Linked DNA regions of Tamandua tetradactyla. The protein of the gene in region 2 interacts with the protein of the main gene of each other region in a pairwise test. Links are inferred from orthologs where the notes say so. Each region holds a gene or a part of one and is shown on either strand. Other genes may lie near its edges.

Region 1 (8,975 bases), on a different chromosome or scaffold from region 2:
AGTTCACTTTTTCATTTCAGGGGGAAAGAGAGGAGGAAAAGCTGAGGTACGCTTTGATAAGAGTTTGTGTAACCTCTGTCCTGTAATTTCCAAAGATAGTTTATCATAGAAACAAAACAAACCCTAAATTTATACAGGTCAATCTCGGGGAAACAAGCAAAAAAAAATTAACAGCATTTGGCCTTCTCCCAACTAAGCAAACATATTACGTCAGAGCCTAACAAACCACAACTATATGGCTGGGGGAAAGAAAAAAAAAGAGGTCAGAAGAAGAAATTCTAAGGCTCTCTCCAAACACGATTCAAAAGAAGCTATTATTTCTGAGATTTCAGAGAGCTATCCATCCCAAAGCAAACCAAATCAAAGCCCTGCTTGAGAAAGAGAGAAGAAATAAAAATTAAGCTGCAACCACCATTTTTGCATTTTCTCCTTAAAAGCAGCACTTAAACACAAGTACATACTTTCATCTTCACAAAAGGACCGTGTAATTTCCAGTCAACCTGCTAGGACCATGTAAACAGTGTGGCTGCCGGCGAGAACATTCACCCACGTTCTGGAAGGTCACCAGGTGTTAGGCCTACCTCTTCCAGATAACCTAATTTAATAAAATCCAAACTTACGCAACAGATGAACTGAGGGAACAAAGAAGTGACCAGGTCCATTATAAAAGTGTCATGCTTTAAAAAGAAATTATTAGAGGGCTCCTTTAAAAATAAGCCACAGGGTGGGCCACAGTGGCTCAACAGGCAGAGTTCTCACCTGCCATGTCAGAAACCCGGATTTGATTCCCGGCGCCTGCCCATGCAAAATAATAACAATAATAATAATAAGCTATGAACTTGCATATGCACAAATGATTTAACAGTTGTGTCCAGGGGTGTCATTTCCATGGATATTTCATCTGCATTTATACATTTCAATTTGGTTGGTTTTTTAAATAGCAAACCTGCATATTTTTGTATTAAGAAAGAAATTAGATACACATTTCCAATTTGAAAAAAAATACTCTGAATTTGCTTCAAATACAGTAAGATATTTAAAAAAAAACATACTCTGTATCTTTTCTTCCAACACCAATGTTGGAAGAAGTTGACTAATAATCTGGTGCCTACGATGCCTCAATAATCTCACCCTCTAGCATGCCCCTCTCATATATCTAGTTTCTCCACACTCAGTTCAAACGCTCAAATTTCAGACTAGTCACACCATGGCCACAATAGTCTTGGCTGCTCTTACTTCTTTCACTTTAGCATTGTTAAGCTAGGTCTGTAATGCTCCCTTCACCATCCAGGCATCCCCCCAGCTTCCCCCATCCCTCCTCTTCCTTTGCAAAGTTGTTTCTCAGCATACACCCAGCCTCTTTAGACATGCATGCCCAGACAGCCTGGGTCCCACAAAATGCTTTGCAAACACAGCATATAAATTCACCAACTACTCATTGGGTGGTAGGGGCCTTTATTGTGGCTAAAACTATTCTCACAAACTCCAAAACCTATAATCTCCCACAGTGTTCAACCACAGGAACTGGAGCGGAACCAAATATTAAGAGAAAACTTACAAATAATTAAAAGCATGTCACTGACTCTAGCTCTGAAAGGCTCCCCACTTCCCATGCTTCCTGGCTAACTCTGTATTGTGCTTTAAGGTAGCAGCCACATTGCAGTGAGGTGTGATGCTTGCTTCTCTTTTTGTTTCTAACAGTTTCTCAAGAGGTGGGGCCAATATAACCTACATGAAGGAGAAGCTTCAAGAGGCCAGGCTATTGTCTAGAGCCCACGTGGTTCCTCAGCACATCCGACTCCACTGCTCTGAGATGAAGTGGTAAGAAACCTAAGTCATTGCGTCCTTGGCATTCCAGTAAACGTCCTTATGTTGGCACACTGTGACTAATGATGGACTCACACGGCAAACATGGCAGAAAAGGAGCAGTTCAGTGAGGCCTGAGGTTTCAAGTTTGTTCCCCATTTTGAATGGGGCAAATATATAGCAACAGTGACGGGGTGGGTCAAGACTAAAAATGAAAAGCCTCGAAGTGCCAAATCCACATTCTCCCTCCTGTCCCCTAAGACCAGTAAGAGCTCACATTTACCTGGACAGGTACTGTCTTAAGCACTTTTCATGCATCAACTCATTTAATCTTCACAATAACCCTTAGAGTCAGGTCCATCAATCCCTCCATTTCACAGAAGGAGATGGGGCACAGAGGCTGGAAAGCGGAGAGTCTGCTCTAGTGTACTCTACGACACAGAGGCCTCTTTGTGAGTTTGTGAGCCCCGAATCAAAACCTCACCACGGGGCAGCACGTCTGAATTTCAGAACAAAGACCAGAAACTCCTGCAGCAATAGAAATGCTAAACTGAATGAAGGCACAGGACTCAGAGCGCAAAGCCTCATCGTGACAGGTCATACATACGCTTGCAGAGGTAGCCAGTATTGAAATCACCCTTCCCCAGAAAGGACAGGAACTGTCATGCTGGCCCAGGCGTGCATACCATCTGCCAGCTTTGTCACAGGCACAGAGAATTTCCGCATTTCCCCATCCCACACGCCGTCAAGGGCAGCACACAGTAGGCGTCTCACGCATGGGATGGGTCCTACCCCACTGCTGTGATGAAAGGCTCAAGCTTTTTTACGAAGCTCTGTACCAAGCACGCACTTCTGGCATTGAAGTTAACCAGCAGATCTTAAAGGAAAGACACTGGTTTTATCAGGTCCTCAGAGAATACCTGGGGACGCAGCTGATCAAATATGTGGCTTCAGGCTGCTGAACGGTATTGCATGCCTCTGCTGCTGCTGGTTCACCTGTAGAGATTCACGCTTTCTCCCCCAGGTGTTCATGCTGCCCGGAAGGAAAATAACCAGGGCACAGTGTGCTGATAAGGACAACAAGCAAGGGCCTGGGACCCGGCTCCGCCTCTAATGAACGGTGTGACTGAGCCCACGCTTCATTTCCGGGGGCCTCGGTTTTCTCATCTGTGAAATGACAGCCAGTTCATGCTGTGGACCTACACAATTTGTAGACTCCGTGATATAATATAGTTTGAAGCTATGGAGACAAGTGGAGCCAGGGTAGAGAAAATGGAAATGAGGAAATTAACTCAGCAGGGGTTTTCCTACTTTCACTCCCCACAACAATCATTGCTGATACTGATTCAAAGTTATTTAACCAAAGTTATCTAATCCCTAAGACATTTAGTGCAGCAACTTCCAGCTAGTCAAGATCCAAAACATTTAAAGTTTAGTTAATTAACTTGGTTTTCTTCTGGTATAGCATTTTGCTCAAGAAAAAGAATAAGCAGCAAATCCAACCCTGCAATTTATCCCCAAAACCAACTTCTAAGGAGACACAGGATCCTTTTAGTTCTCCACAATGCCCCCCCTTCCACAGCCACTGTTCTTTAATTTTTTTTAATTTTAATAACTGAGCTCCCCCCACCCAAAGGGACCGAGGTACTTCAAATAAATACTGTGACATGGACAGTAAAACTTTCATGTTAAGAATATAGTTTTGAACTCTAATTCTTTGAAGACAATCGTCACTTCTCTATCCTGCGAAAGGACTCATTCTGAGAACAAAACTAATTACCAGAGGTGACAGTAATTTGGTAAGTTGTTTTATAAACATTCACCATTCTTCAGAAATTTAAATTTACTGTAACACAAGATTTATGGAACGAATTCCAGTCATGCCAAATCAGTGCCCACATTATATCTTTCATTTTTTATTCACTTTTTACAAATGATCATATTCGTCCAAGTCGTTGTTTCTGTTAAACAAGCCGTTGTTTCTCCTAAATCAAATAAAAGCCTTTTGTGAGATGAAGAGAATCTCAGTTTGGAAAGAGGCGCAGCGCTTGCTTCTTCTCCTGGCAGGGACAGACAACCCTGAGCTAACTTACAGATTCTGACTGCTCATTGCGTCTCCCACCCCCATTCCGGCGCCCGCGTGAGTCCTGCGGGCAGGGTGCCCACTTAGGTGAGGAAGGTCACCGTGGAGTACACCGGGGCCACAGCCTGGGTCTGCCTCCCGCGCGGTCCGGCTGAGCTCCGCGACCCGAGGGCGGCGGCCGCGGGGACCCGCAGCGCCGGGGCGCGTCTCGCCCCACCCCACGTGGAGGCGCACCTGCGTGCGGGCGCGCGGGGAGGCCACAGCGGGGGTGCGGCGCGGGCTAAAACCGCCTCCCCGGGACTTTTCTAGAACAGCTCCTTGGGAAGGAAGTCCACCCGGTACTACCCACACGGAGGATGCGGGTGCGACTGGCCCGCACGGCCGTGGGGGTGGGCGCCGCCAAGTCGGCGGGCTGAAGCGCGCGGGCGTCCCGGAGCGCGCAGGGGCTGGCGGAGGTGGCGGAGGCCCGGCTGACGCCCCAGAAGTGTGCCTGGAAGCTGCAGAGCACAAGACCCTCCTACGCAGCCAACCCCAAGGCCGCCCCAACTCCGCGGGCGCGCATATCCCCGCGGGGATCCCCAGAGCTTCCCCCGAAGGCCTCCCTCTCCAGCTGCTCCCCAGGACCACAAGTCCCCGGGCCTCCGGGGCGCCGCTCACCCAGCCGCCTGCTCCAGACATCGGACACCCGACATCGGACACCGGTAGCCCGTCGCGGCCGCGCTCGCCCGGCTCAACCCCACACCTGAGCCTGCCCGGGGCGGGACGGGGCGGGACGGGGCGGGAGCGGGGGAGGGGAAGGGGGAGCTGGGCAAGGGGAGGGGCGCGCGGCGCCCGGGACCGAGGCCTCGCCAGGCCGGCCCTCCCTCTGCCGCCCCGCCTCCCTGCAGTCCCCTGCACCTACCACTCTTCCCCCCGGGGGACACCCCCACCCAGCCCCACACACCCTTCTCTTAACCCCACCCCAGCCTTTACCTGTTTAGAGCCCGGAGCTTGCCTGGGCTGGGTGACCCGAGCACCAGCCCGGTCCAGTTGGGCCGCCAGAAATTGTTGGGGAAGCAAGGGAGAAGGAGGCTGAGGCGCCTGCGAGCGGCACAGACTGGCTGGACAAACACTCAGGCCAACTTGTTGGCAAACGGCGTCCCTCAGCCCTGACCCGCCCGCCCGCCCCGCCCCACCCGCGGCCCGCATGCCCGGGGCCTGACTGGGCGCTCGCGGCCCCACCCGGGCGCCTGGAGAGGCACCAGTGCCGGGCAGGCTTGGCTGCCCGCTGCATCTCAGGCCGGCTTGTCCGGCGCGCTGACCCCGAGGTTCTTTGGTCCTTGGGAGCGGGGCCGGGGGGCGGGGCGAGGGATGGCGGGCGACAGGGCCACCTCCCCCTCCACTCTCCACTCTCCACTCTTAGTTAATTGGGGAATGACATCTGCAGTCTGTGACGTCTTGCATCTCTCTGGGTCCTTCGGAACTTATTAATGTTGGCAGGTCTGGCCACTGCAGAACGCAGTTTTGGCAAGTTGGGGGTGGGGGGGGGTTGGAGGCTTCAGGTACGCTGGCCCGGTCCCACCGGCCCAGTCGGCTCACCCTCTTGCATTCTGCTCCCGCAGCTCCGGAACTTACTTGTGTTGTTGTTGACATTAAGTAAGTGATCAAACTCTTGGGCACTTGTAATTATAGGTGTGGTTGAGTAGGAAAAGCTCAAGGAGGACAAAGCAAAAGGAGGAACGCTGAAAAAAGACAAAGGGAGTTGAAATGAAACAAAACTGGAGAAAAGAAAGAAGGTCATGAAGTCTTTTGACTCTCAGCAAGAACAGGTTAGGGTGGCTCATGAGAATATTAGGGAGGTGCTGACTGACTACAAAAGAGGAAACCTCGGAGGAAAGTTCAGCAAAAGCAGAATGGAAAGTTTGGAAGGCATTTTCCATTGTAGAGCAGCATTCAAAATGTGTGGAGAAAACAGCCTGCTTTGACGAACCTCAGCTTGCCTCTGTGCTGGGAAGAGATGTAATAAACAGGGAGTGTTCTCAGGTGCTGGTCTACACAGCCTACCAGATATATTCATGAGCCAGATTTGCAGGATTTAAAAATAACTTTCTAATTCCCAGCCTCTCCAGACTGCAGAAGTTAGAAGAGCTTGGGGCAGAGATCAAATCCTGGGTAAAGTCAGCAAACAGGACCCAACTATTTAACAGGCCATTCCAGGGATCCTGTCTGGGGAGAATTTCTGGTCTAAGATCTGGTTCCCATTGCTTATTAAATGAATGACCTGTGGAGTGCTTTAGGTTGAAATGTGAGTTGCCCCTGGTTAGCTGTTGTGGCCGTCTGAAAATAAATCCTAAAACTTGATGTATTGAACGGTTAACGGACTTCATTAGCCAGGATAAATTCCATAGGACATCGGTAACAGCCAATTCCCTTCCTCCACACATTAATCTCCCTAGGCATCCAGAGAAGTCCATCTGTGTAATAACTCCCTTTGTCATAACAAATCTGTGCCTCGATTTCCCCATTGAATAATTGCAGTACTTTTCTCATTGAGTTGTTATGAGCATTAATTGAAATAATACATGTAATTCATTTTATTCCGTACTACATAGTATAATTTCAAGTTCCTATCGCCTCACACTTAGGCTATGGGTTTTGCCTCTTTTGGTAGCCAGGCTCCAAATTAGCCAGAAGATCTCTACCTCCTATAGTTTCTGCCCACATTGTACCAGCGTTGGTCTGTGGTGAGCAATAGAACATGGCAGAAGTGATGATATGTCACTTCTGACATAGATTATAAATGACTCTCTCAGCATTGCTCTGTGGGAAGCCAGCTGCCATCTCATGAACAACCCTCTGGGGAGGTCCACGTGGAGAGGGACTGAAGACTCCTGCCTACAGCCTTTGGAAGAGGCTCTTGCAGTCCCAGTCCAGCTTTCAGGTGACTGTAGCATCAGCTCACGGCTTGATTGCAAATTCATGAGAGACCCTGAGCTCGAACCACTTAACAATCCACTGTCCAATTCTTGACCTACAAGCTGTGAGATAATTTTTTTTCAGATAATTATTTATTGTATTATGACGCTAAGTTTGGGATAATTTGTTACACAGCATAGATAACTAATACACCTCTAGTTTCTAAGCCAGTTTTACCTAGCTTTAGTGTACAGGAAAAATTATGTGGGCAGCTTATTTAAATGCAGATCCTGGACCTCAAGACCTAGGAAATATACATTTGTGGGGCCCCAACATCTGCATTCTGAGCAGCACTCTGGGTGGTTGGGCTTAAAATGGAGCGGCAGATTATGCATTCAGGAACTGTGCTTTAGGTTCTTCAGGTCAGAAATTTGTGAATGCAGTTATCAAATCAACCTTTTCAAATGTTAACTCTGATCCATCTCTTTCCCAAAGAATTAAAATTAAACTGCTTACAAACTTTGAAGCACCAAGACAATCTGACATTAATCTCCCTAAGCTTTATCGCCTTCCTAATATAAACCCTACATTCAGATAACCTGGCATTTTCCAGACCCTAAACCTACACAGATCCCACAGCTTCACACTGTGCCCTCTGTCTAAAATGTCTTGCCTCACAACTTTGCTTATGAAAACTCCACCTGCCCTTCAAACTCTAATTTTTAGGAAATCTTTCCTGACTATCCCAAATCCAGCCCGAAATGGTCCTTCCCTCTCCCATAGGGTTATAACACTTGTATCATAGTTTAGCATTTCATACATCCAAGAAACATTTAGTGAACACCTACTGGGTACCAGGCTCTGTTGTGACTGGGATCTAGAAAAGTAGACAGGCAGGGTCCCTGCTCCATCTGCAATGCAGCGCTGTCATGCAAAGTTAGCTATGTGTATGCTTTATGCCCTTTGAAATCAAACCTCTTGATGGCAGGGACCATGTCCTATGGAAGTTTGAATCTACCCATGCCCAAGCACAGAGTAGGTGTTCAATGAATGATTGCTGTGCATATAACTGTGTGTTAATGAATGCAGACTGTACAGAAACAGAGCAATCATTTGGAGCCTAGTCTCTTGTTCCTTTTCTCTCATTGTCCCCTTTTCATCCATGTTATGTGCCTTTCCTATATTTAACTCTTTCCTCGTCTTTTATGTCCATATTTTTTTTCCATCATCTTTACTTTGTTTCCCAGTCTCCTCTGCCATCTCCTAGTATTCCCTCTTTTAATTGACATAATCTGGAATCAAAAAATACTTTAAAATATAATTCCAAAAGCAGGCAATAAGGTTGTTTTATATTACTCCAAAAGAAAGCGAATTGCCTTTTTATTTCCTGGTGTGGCTGTTAGTTACTTTTCCACTCACTTTGGACTAGTGGCTCTCTGGAGAAAACAGTTCCCCACCCAATGATCTTGGATGCAAAGTCACAGGAGTGGGGAAGGATGAGGGGTTCACGTGCCAGCCACACTCATACCGTGTGGGGTCTGGGCACCCAGGGCCTGGGCAGGGGACAGGCACTGAGCCTCTCCTGAAGACTGGGCAGTACTGGCAGTGCAGAGATGTATAGATGGGTGTCACCACACAAGTGTGTGGGAGTACTTCCTCTATCTACTACTGGTGCTCAAAGAGAAAAGCTAAAAATATTGTTTACTATACACTAAATATTTTTTGTCAATTACCTGTAGTAATGGACACCATGACAAATTTTAGTTGTCATGTTTCTGGGCGTTCCTTTTAGAATGTTGTTTGGGAACCATGCCGCCCAGGGCTGTCTTGTCCGGCACTGGGTCACTAGAGGGACCACACGTAGAGACTCTGATATGTGAGGCACCCCCTGGAGTTGTACAAAACAGCAGCTCTGATGCTGCCAGAAAGATTAGAGAAGCAGCTCTTCAGCTCTTATAAATTAAAGGTCAATTTGGGTTTAAGTTCTACTGAAAATGAAGGTTCTCTTCACATTTATCCTTTATAAAGGAAAATAGGATATGCACCAATATCATTTTTGCTGTCAAGGTCAGAAATCCCACTTTTTAAAGTCTTAACTCAAGGAAGTAAGTTAAATGCTTGTTCCGCAGTGAGTGTGAGGTGGATATGAAAGGAAAAGAATGAAAGCATTTAAACTTTACTAAAAACTGAT
Region 2 (11,206 bases):
ACTTAATTTGTAAAGGTTGACAAGGTTTAATATCTGTCCACTATGACTTATATTAAAACTTAAACTCAAATAAATGGTAAAAGAAAAACAATTTTTGTTACCTGCCAACAAACCTTCAAGTGCATAAGTCTACTTGATTCGTTTTCCCTCATTAGATTAAAACAAGACAAAACAAAACTACCACACACCACTCCAGCACATTTTAAAACATTTCATGCCCATGTTAAATAAAACAATACACTGCTGGTAAATGAGGTGTTAAAACACATTCTCCTGTGATTTAAATATTAACAATGTTTATTACTGGCATATAATAAGACTTCAGATAAGTTTGAAATTACATCTTTGTGCTTTGGCTTGTCTCTTCTGAAAAATCAGGCTGTGGACCTTGTGAAGATGGAAAGATGAATGCTCTGAGCTGTGTATAAAAGTTCTATGTCACATGAATACAAGATGTTAACTGACCTGACAGATCTTCATGGTGTATGATAGGTAAATCAGAAACTACTCAGTTGTCAGGTTCTAATTTTTACAATCATCTATCCCATTCACATAGTTATAAGTAGTTTAAGACACCCACACACTTTAAGGTTAAAAGTACAAACTTCTCAAACTGAGATACTTAATCGTTTCTTCTTGTTTTCATAAATAGTGATGAAAAACTACAATTGAGAGATCTGGGTTTTTACTTCCAGCTATATAACCCCAGGCAAGTTATTATCTTCTTTTCACCAAGTTAAGAAGGAACTATGTATGTATGCATTGCTGAAGACGGTCCAGAAACAATTATTCTATACCCAGAGTGTATAATATGTACATACAGATCCACATAGACGCCACCACCACACTGTATGTTTTATGCAAAGCATAAAAACATTCCCTGGATGTAATCCGTTCTGGCCTGTTGTAAAGTGGTGAGTAACTCCCCACTGGGAAGAACCAGGTACTTACCAAAATGTTCTTACCTAGCAATCAAACCCTGAGTCGAAACTTCTTCCAGAACCAAGGGTAACTTGAGACCATCATTAACCACTTTCATTCAGTTATGAAACTATCTATTGTACTTAATATGCAGCCAGTAACATCTTTCCTGCTCCTGGCGCTGCAGAAATGCCAAGAACAGTGCTCTTTCAGTAAACAGCAAACAAAAAAGAATTAGACTTATCCTTATCTCAATCCTTATTTCCAGTTACAGCCTCAACCTGGCTCAGTAATCTGAAGTCTCATAGTCTCCTGAATATTTTATAGGATGTTAAGGATAGAGTTTTAGCAAGATAAGTCTCAACTACAAGAAAGCACCCGTGAAGTCACACTGTATAATAGGATATTACTTCATCTGTTAGTTTAAAGACAAGGGTCTTCTAAAAAAGTTCTTTTCCTGTTGTGTAGCATCTGGCTTCCGTAACTAAAATGAGCCAAAAGCTGGCACTAAGCCCAAGAAGGTTTTCTAAATAATTAGGGGAGGGAATGGGAGAATATTGAATGTCCTTTATATTTTTGATTAAGGCAACAAAGAAAAGGAAACAATCTTGTTTTGAAGCCCTGTGCATTTCTCTATTCTACAATAAGAAGCTGCTCTTTTAAACCACATTGAACTGCCTTAGGCAGCCAGAGACATACATTTACTGTAGGTTTGGAAATTATTACATATCAGTACCATCATAGGTTTAATATTCAACAGTCTTTGCAAATGATAATATTCTCTTTTAATAGTGTGAGACTGGGGGCTTTACACGGATACTCAATTTAGTCCTATGCCTTAAGCAAAAAATTACATAATAGCAAGAATGATTTTTTTAACAGGACCTTTCTTCCAGAATTTTGAAACTTTAAATCTTACTGCTATATTCTTCTCATTTTACTTCAATTTCATCAAAAAATACAAGGACAATCTATTTACACAGTAGCTATAGTCTGTAGCAGTAATTCATTAACATTAAGACTGAAAGCTTTTCCTATTACAAAGTCAAACGCGTCATTTGATGATGCTCCTGTATTCCCGTTGCCAATGTTACTATAATTGGGAAGGCAACAAACGTGAATATAAACATGAAGAAAAATGGTGTCAGTTTTAATGACCCATCAAACAGTGATCCAGCAAAGAAGCTGCACACAAGAAAGACGTACTCATTAAAAAAAAGAAACAGAAATCTTAGGATTCCTTTAAACTAAGATTTCATTTACCCAGTCCATACAGGAGAAATCTCAATTCTTACTCTAAACTTCCACAGTTCATGAAACAATGATTATATAGCAGCTAGTTGGAAAGAAAATCCAGCCTCTGAAGTCTTTCCACCTTGTTTGCAGGGACACATTTCAAAGCATGTACCATCATTACCTGCACAGAAAGCTCCTGCTGTCCCAGAAAGGACCTTACGCATAGAGATTATTGTCAGTATTCTTACTGTGCCAACTCAGGCCTCTGACAAAAGATAGTCTTCATCAAAGTGTTTTCTAAAAGCAAAGGTTTTCTCCTCCTGCCTACACACAGCTTCACGTTTCTAACAGGAATTTTTCAGCAATTTTAATTTTGAAATGACTGCCCCAACAAACTTCGATGCAGACTCAATCTACTTAAAAAATGGCTTATATCGTTAAAAGAAAAAAAGTATTTTGTAGTTCTAAGACATTTTGAACAGGATCTTAGAAAGCTGTTTGACTCACTGCTCTCCAAACAGCCTAGTATAGCAAAACTGATAGTGAGGATATTTTAAAAATCATACAGCTGTTGACACAGGATAAATCCCCACTACACCTGCTTAATCAACTTGCTTAAAGGACAGACCTGTTTACAGACTTCATTCAGCAGAAAGTATCTATAAAGAGCTACTGTAGGCCAGGTGCCATAGTGGGAACATTCCATGATGCTGGTGGTATTTCCACCGCATGGGCCAGAATCGAACCTACTTCTCTCACAGGGTGGGCAAGAATTCTACTACTGAACTACCTGTGCACTCAACTGAGTTTGAATGTCATCTATCATAACCTGTCTTCAGCTGTGGCCCCAGTGCCCACATAACTACCTGGTACAGAGTAGATAATAAATATCTGTGAAACGAACAAATTTTAAAATGCTTTACAAGTTTAGAAGTTAGTTAACATATAATTTTAAAAAATCGGGGCAAAGATAACCTTTTATGCATCCTGCAGCTGTGTTTTATAGGTCATTTTCCCAAGTTATGATTGTTGGAATTTCCTATCTTCTATTCCTACTCCTCACACTTTACTGAGTTATGTCAAAATCCATTTTGATAATAAATGTAAGAACCCTTTGAAAAGAACAGAAGAACCCCCAAATACAAACTGGCATCAAACAGGTTCAAAACAGTGTCCTTTAAGGTTCTGTTTAAACCTGAAGATCTGACAGCTCTGGTTTGATCAAAGCAGTTAGAAAACTCTAACGGTAACCCTATCAGGCTGCATTTGCTTCTCAGTAGATTGAAAAATTACAATGGGTTATTTTTAACAACCGCAGGGGGGAAAGTGCAGTGCGATTTAGGCCCCTGATGGAAGAAAGCCATGAAACCAGTAATCCTGTGGGAGTGCTTCAGTTTGGTTCAAGAAACATTAATCGAGCTTCTATTATGTGCTGTGTGTTGTAGTAGATGCTGGGGATTCAAAAAAATGAGGGCCATCTGGTCCCTGCCCTTAATGCCCTTGCGGATTTATGCATCTTATATACTAGAAAGAAAAACATTCTGCGTTGATTATACGAACTCCTTAATATATTCAAAGGAAATGGTGCAATTGCACAATGGTTGCAATTAACCCTGGAGAAAGAATCAAACTAGGCCATCAATTCTTATGGGAAAATCAGAAAACAGGTTTGTTAAAACTTAAGACAAATGTGTCTTGTGGACATAGAGAACGTGAGCGCAAATACTGGTATGTACAGCTCCCAGCATAATGATTTTAGAAATCACCTTCCCAAAGCAGGCACACATTTTATTTCCTTCTCCTAAGTTGAGTTACTCAAGTTTACGTTCCCTGTGGTCTCCCCTACCGAGTTCATCGCTCAGCATGTACAGATATCACGATCATTTAATGTTCAACTAAATGAGATGTTTCATTTTCACTGCAAGTTTGGAGCTGAAAAAAATGGATTTATACAGATTCGCAGAAACAGAAGCCTGAAAAAAAATTCCTGAGGATTATTTAGCGCTCAGTATCATGCGCTTGCTCTGGAGATTGAATTGGAATCCTAGCACCCCAAAACAGTCGCCTCCACCTCCAAAGTGCTGTTGTGAGGATTAAATGAGCATCTGTGTTAAGGACCTGCCAGCGTCTGGCACATACTCAAGTATCCCTATTGCTAGCTCCAGTTGGCAATATGCCAAAAAAGGACCACTGGCTTCAAAGTGAAGGCCACTCGAAGGTCCTTCTCTGGAAGGACGGTCAGCAAGAACTCTACAGGCAGGCCAAGCCAGGAAGGCAGGCTTTTAACCGAAAGGTGGAAGTGCAAATTGACGGAGGAGGGTGAGGCAGAAGTGCCCTCCAGTCAGTTCATCCGGCATCTGGTGGACTGTGCATTAACAATTTAAAACAAAAGAAAATGGGTTAACACCCAATAGAAAAAAACCCGTAAACCGGGTGGATAAGGAACGGACAAGGGTTTGGGCAGTGACTGGCTGGCTCCTCGTTCTGGGAGTCTACGGACTACAGTCTTTCCTCTCCGGGAAAATGGGGATGACCAAAGTTCCTCCCGGTGGGTGGGTGCAGATAAGAGGAGGGCAGGTTCGTTAGGGGCCTGCGCCCTTCCCACCGCGCAGGGATGCTACTGGCACCCACAGGGCTCCGCTCCAGCCGCCGCGAGCCCCGTTACAGCCCAGGGGCGCCGTGTGCGCAGGAGCCGTCACGGGGCGGCCACTCACTGTGGCTTAAAGGGTGAATAACCTAAGCGTCTTAAAGCGCTGAGAGCAGCGCCCCGCACACAGTTAGCCCTCGACAACGTTCTCCAGGCGCGTTATTATTCCTGCGCCGACACCCGGGGCGGGCACGGCAGCGCCTGCAAAGGGCGGCGGCCCGGGGCGAGAGCAACTTTTTCAACACAGTTCAGCAGCCCAGAGCCTCCCCGCTGCCGTGTCCCCCGCCCTCACCTTGCTGGAGGTCCTGGTGATCGTACCATGGCTCGTCCTCCTTCAGCTCGAACTCCTCCTCCACCAGGTTTTCCGCCAGCATCTCGGCCGGGCCCTCCGGGGGCAGCGGCCCCAACCGCCGCTGTCCCGCCTCAGCCGCTGCCCCGGGCTCGCTCCCGGCCCCGCCGCCCTCAGCCAGAGCCGTCCCGGGGCGGGACCCGCCCGCCGTCCGCCGCCCAGGCTCAGCGAGAGCCGCCCGTCGCCCGGCTTCCTGGCCAGCCTCGCGCCGCCCAAAGGTTCCAACGGCCGGCGCCTCGGCCGGCGTCTCAAGCCGGCTCGCGACGCCGCCGCCGGGCCCAACGTGGCACTTTGGCAGAACCCTCCCCGACCGGGACTGTGATTCAAACCCGGGCGGCGTCTTGGCCAATCGCGAGCGAGCCGCCGGCCGAACGGCGGCGATATCGTCCAATCGCGTCTCGCCGGTTGCCCGCGCCTCGCCCGGTCTCGAGAGCGGCAGCCAATGGCGTCTTCGGGAGAAACAAAGAAGGCGGGCAGATGAACGAAGGGGTGCGGCTGAGAGACCTCGCCCCCCGCTCAGCTCCGGGGCAATTTTCTGGGTGTGCGTTCGGGGTCCTGGGTTGTCTAGGCGGCCTGCGGTGGGTGGACCGGCTACCCGCCCATCAGTCAGTCAGTGGACGCGACGGCCGGAGGGTGGCCGGGCAGGCTTCGTGGACGTGAGGGGCAAGAACTCCGGCCTCTGAGGAGTGGAGGTGGTCGTGGGGCCTCCTTAGTGCGGTCGGGAGGCGCGAGGGGTGCCGGGAGCCCGCGTTTCCCTGCCTGGCCGCCGGTTGTCTGTCGACTCCTGGGTTTGCTCTCGTCGCGGCGGGAAAACTAAGGGTCTGCCGAGAGTTTGGGGCTGAGGAAGACACCCTCTGACTGTTAGCTTCTTCTCCTTGACGTCTGTTCTTATTCCCAAACCTCTGGGAATTTTCCTCACGCCCGCCCAAGGGTGTGGGTTTCACACCCATTTAAGAATGGATTATGAGCTTTGATGTAAAAGTCAAGGTACAGCTGCTAGAAGGAGGGGAAGACAGCATTGCTAATATCTGTATGTGACAGGAGGGGACTCCACCGATACTTTCTAACGTTTATGGAACAAAGAGGTTTTACTTTATATGAAGGATTATTCTTGAAAAATTTAAGGGAACAACGATCAGAAATTAGGTGAGAGGGAAGAGAAGGAGTAGTGTTAGCAAATTAAATCCTGAATCCATAGACAATACCTTAAATTGAAAATATAATAAATAGTTTTCAACGATGTGAAGATAACTGCTAAAACTAAAATGGAAAACCGTTCATAGTTTGCCTGAGGGGAGACTTTGCTTTTTATTATAAGTTTCTCTGTGATTTTGTGTGGCACATGCACATGCACACTTGGTGCAAACATTACTGTGATAAAAAATAAAGGAAATTGTAGGGAGGGAGTTACAGATCCTCAAATTACTATTGTTCTGTATAAAGGAATAAAGATGAGTAATTTACAGGAGGGGGGAAAATCCACCCTAAATATTCGTGTAGGTTTTAAAAAATGTAGTGTCCCTTCCCCTCCCCTTTCTTGCTCAAATTGGTGAAATCTCATGCTGATGCTGTAGGGTCTTCACAGCTTGACTCCAGGGTTGCTTTATGAATAGCCTGTAAGCTACTACTCTTGCCAAGGACAAGGAAACTTTCCCAGTTACCAAAAATTTTATCCTTTCATCATTAAAGAAGACTGCTTAATATAAAGTGGAAAGCACAGTGTATTCACAAGACCTGCAGTTGTAGCCTCAGTTCTACCAGCACAAAAGCCTTTAACTTCTTTAGGTTTATAGGAGAGATATCTCTCTACCTTCCTCACAGAATCAAAGAGAGAAAGTATGAGAAAGCATTCATGCCTTTTTTAAACATACGCTGCTGTTACTGATATTTTGGGGACAACTATGAGCATCAAAATAATATTATTAATGGATTATAACCAAATGAATAAAAGGAAAAATCTATGAATCCATACTGATATAAATGAATGAGTGAATGAATGAGCAAAGGCTCCCCACCCAGTATCCACAGAGGACAATACTATGATTTCTTGATTTTCAGAAAAGAGAGTTTTATTGTGAGGTTGATTGGCCAGGAGGCAAGGCTCAAATCTGTCTCCTTGATCTGAGAGTTAAGGGACATTTTGTGGGAATGGGGGGTGAAAAGTATAGACAGAAGTGGAGAGGTTTGACTTGGCCCAGTGCAATTGGTTAATCATAGAGTTGTCCATGTGTGGTAGAGTGGATTTTAGGCTCCATTTGGCATTTGATTTGCTTTCAATGTCTCCTTGTTCTTGTAATCTTGGTTCCAAGGGAGGTGGCATTTGTTCCTGGTGTCTCAAAGTCCATATAAAGGACAAAAATCTGTTTTCTACGCATGCTTAGGTTATATGACCTGCCGTTAAGCAAACTCAAAAGAAAAGGTTACAGGAACAGAGAATATCCCCATGAACCGATTTTTGTTCACGCATGGTTTCACTCTTACTTGTAATGGTGTTAGAAGGTAATAATAATAATAATAATAATAATAGTGATAATAATAATGAAAGGGGAATGAGAAATCATAAATCACTTTCTTTTGAATCCAGGTATACTAAAAGGCAAAATGTTACTGATCTACTTTTGTTTTTCTGATCTACTTTTTATTGCTAGGTTACAAAGAAGAAAAAAGTTAGGACCCTTGTAAAATCTCTACTGTCCTAGCTGTCCATATTCAGGTGCAGATATTAGTCCAGAAAAAGAAAAACAAAAGAAAATCATTTAAACCAACTTTGTTAACTTAAAAATAAATTACTGGGCTGGCCACGGTGGCTCAGCAGGCAGAGGTCTTGTCTGCCGTGCTGGAGACCCGGGTTTGATGCCTGATGCCTGCCCATGCAAAATAAATAAATAAATACATAAAATAAAATAAATTACTATAGATAGAGCCCTTTGGAAAGAGGGATGATTGGGTTTAGGATTTGCTGATGGTGTTTTGTGGAAATTGAAGGGCCAGATTCATGCATTTGACCTTCAAGAGACTCATCCATCTTCCATAGTTGTTACCGGACAAAGGCTGTGAATTCTTCTGCCCCCACACTCAATAACCAATTCCTGAGACATTGGGTATTTCAAAGAGAGGAAGAGTTTATTACTAGGCAAGTAGTAGGAGAGCAGATGGCCTAGCGGCCCAAAATCTGTCTCCCCAAACTGCAGTAATTCAGGTAGTTAGAGGAAAGATGGGCAGGGTTTAGGATAATAAGCACAGTGGCCCCAGATGTTGTAGAGGTAATTTAAGTATTGAGCATGTGCAGGTTGATTACATGCTTAGTCACAGAATGTATGTAAGAAAATGGTGGAATGAGGTGTAGGTGACTTGTCGGTTCAAGTGTAAGCTTCTGTGCATGTCAGGTAGGCCAAGCCCACTTTGGTTAGATCCCAGTCTCTCTTAACAAGATAACTTCAGATATGGGGTGTGTTGAGTTCTGGGCTGACTCAAGACCCTTCATTAATAAACATTACCTGCTGTCTTTAATGATTACAAGACTCTAAAGTTGAAAAACTGTTAAACTGGGTACAAAAGAAGGTTAGTCATGAGGTTTTTACAATAACAAGGGCAGAAGATAAGGGCTATACAATCATTAGCAGAGATCAAAGCAGCTGAATTACAATTTAGAGATTTTAGGAATTTCCCTCTTTCTACTCCAATGTACAAGAAAGCAAAAAAGGAATTTCTATATAGTGATTCAGTAATAAAAATCATCCCTTAAATCCTGATTTCTTGGTTGCATAGTCACCGATTCGCAAGATTGAAAGTGCTGGCTGTTTTTTTTTTTTTATTTAACATACAAACACAAACATTCTTACCATATGATCATGCCATTCATGTTATATAATCAATAACTCACAATATCATCACATAGTTGTATATTCAGCATCATGATAATTTCTTAGAACATTTGCATCAAATCAGAAAAAGAAATAAAAAGAAAATAAAAAAATTCAGGCATACCCTTACCCTTCCTTTTCATTGATCACTAGCATTTCAATCTACTAAATTTATTTTAACATTTATTCCCCCTATTATTTATTTTTAATATATTTTACTCATCTGTCGATAAGGTAAATAAAAGTATCAGACACAAGGTTTTCACAATCACACAGTCACATTGCGAAAGCTATATCATTATACAATCATCTTCAAAAAGCATGGCTACTGGAACACAGCTCTACATTTTCAGGCAGTTCCCTCCAGCCTCTCCATTACACCTTAACTAAAAAGGTGAGATCTGTATAATGCATAAGGATAACCTCTTGACTCTGTTTGGGATCTCTCAAGTACTGGCTGTTTTTGTGATAGCAAACAGAAGCTCATTTTCTTGATGGCAAATAGAAACTCATTTTGACTCCAAATGGGATAAGTATATTCAAACATTCTTTAACAATTGTCTTTCAAAAAATAAGTTATCTGCAGAATTGAAGTTTTTGATAGTTTAAAATGGCAACAACACAATAAAACAGGCTTTATGCTTTTTGGTGTCAGTGGTTCTTTTTATTTAAGAATTTTTTTTTTTTCCTGGAAAGGCTGGAACACAAATTGTGTTGAAAAGATGTCCTAATTTTCAATTGCTAAAAGCCCTGGTTTGGTGGGGTCTCTGTTATTCTCTTAGGATCTGCTTGGTCATAGCTTGGAAACAATCATAGGCAACCTCTTTAGCAACAGTATTTGTTTTATTGGTAGGTTAATGAATAACAATCCAAGTTGATTTTAAAATGTGGGTTTCAGGTGTTCATCTTATAATTCACCCATTTAGTGCATCCCCTCAGGCTGATCATTCCATCTTTTCATTACTTTTAAGCTCTTTATTTATAAAACATTTTGTGGTAAAGAAGAACCAGCTCCAGAAGTCCTTTGTCCTTGGTTGTAAAGATAAAATGTGCTTGTTCTTTTGTGTCTTATTGCCATAGTAATATCATGCAAGGCGAATTTTTAGATAGTAGTAGTCGATTTAAAAAAAATTTTAAGTGATGAGTTTCAGTCTGATACTTAGTGAAATAAGTATTACTATGATGATAGTAAACTACAGCAAAATATTTTGTTTTGCAAATGGAAATAAGGAAGATTTTACTTCCTCTTCTACTATATTTAAGAGGAGGAGTTCAGATTATAGAGCCTTTTGTAATGCTGTAAATACCTTATATTCGCATGTTTCAGTAGAATGGGTGCTTAACTTAGTATTCTTTTATTTATTTATGTATATTTATTAATTAAAAAAATTAACAAACAAGAACAGTAACATATCATTCCATTCTACATATATAATCAGTAATTCTTAATGTCATCACATAGTTGCATATTCATCATTTCTTAGAACATTTGCATCGATTTAGAAAAAGAAATAAAAAGACAACAGAAAAAGAAATAAAACGATAACAGAAAAAAAAAGATTATACATACCATACCCCTTACCCCTCGCTTTCATTTATCACTAGCATTTCAAACTAAATTATTTTAACATTTGTTCCCCCTATTATTTATTTTTATTCCATATGTTCTACTCCTTTGTTGACAAGGTAGATAAAAGGAGCATCAGACACAAGGTTTTCACAATCACACAGTCACATTGTGACAGCTGTATGAGGCTGGAGGGAACTGCCTGAAAATGTAGAGCTGTGTTCCAGTAGCCATGTTTCTTGAGGATGATTGAATAATGATACAGCTGTCACAATATTCTTTTTTAAAAATTTGAACTTGTCTCAGGGAGCGAATAACTGTTTGCCATATTCTGAGTTTATAAATACTGTTACCTACCTCCTGACTTAATGATAGGGAAGCTCAGAAGGTGTGGCATGCTTCTTGTTTTAGGATGCCTGAAATAAAACTAAGAAAAAAGAAGAGGACCTAGATTTTGGTGAGCTAAATTTGTATGTCTGCTTTTGGATCTACTGACTCCCCTGTTTTCTGGCTCTCTTAGCAAACCCATGAACTCTATCCTCAATCTTTATTCTTATTTATGCTAAAAATAACTCCTTAGAGTGAGAGCTTTCCCAGTAGTTCCCAGTTTTTCAAATCCAATA

The links. The genes of interacting proteins can lie anywhere in the genome.
Region 1: the proteins of CDR2 (region 2) and SH2D4A interact in binary tests that used the Homo sapiens proteins (3 or more experiments, as listed by UniProt). The two-hybrid records come from large-scale screens. The link is inferred for Tamandua tetradactyla from reciprocal best matches to the Homo sapiens genes CDR2 and SH2D4A.

Annotation. Positions count from the first base shown.
Region 1 is NC_135329.1:19,293,935-19,302,909, forward strand, and holds the start of SH2D4A (SH2 domain-containing protein 4A), read right to left. Parts: upstream 5,013-8,975; 5' UTR 4,862-5,012; intron 4,655-4,861; exon of another isoform or gene 4,547-4,654; intron 2,840-4,546; exon of another isoform or gene 2,727-2,839; intron 1-2,726. UniProt on the Homo sapiens protein: Inhibits estrogen-induced cell proliferation by competing with PLCG for binding to ESR1, blocking the effect of estrogen on PLCG and repressing estrogen-induced proliferation. May play a role in T-cell development and function.
Region 2 is NC_135349.1:34,858,146-34,869,351, reverse strand, and holds the start of CDR2 (cerebellar degeneration-related protein 2), read right to left. Parts: upstream 5,287-11,206; 5' UTR 5,179-5,286; coding exon 5,097-5,178; intron 1-5,096.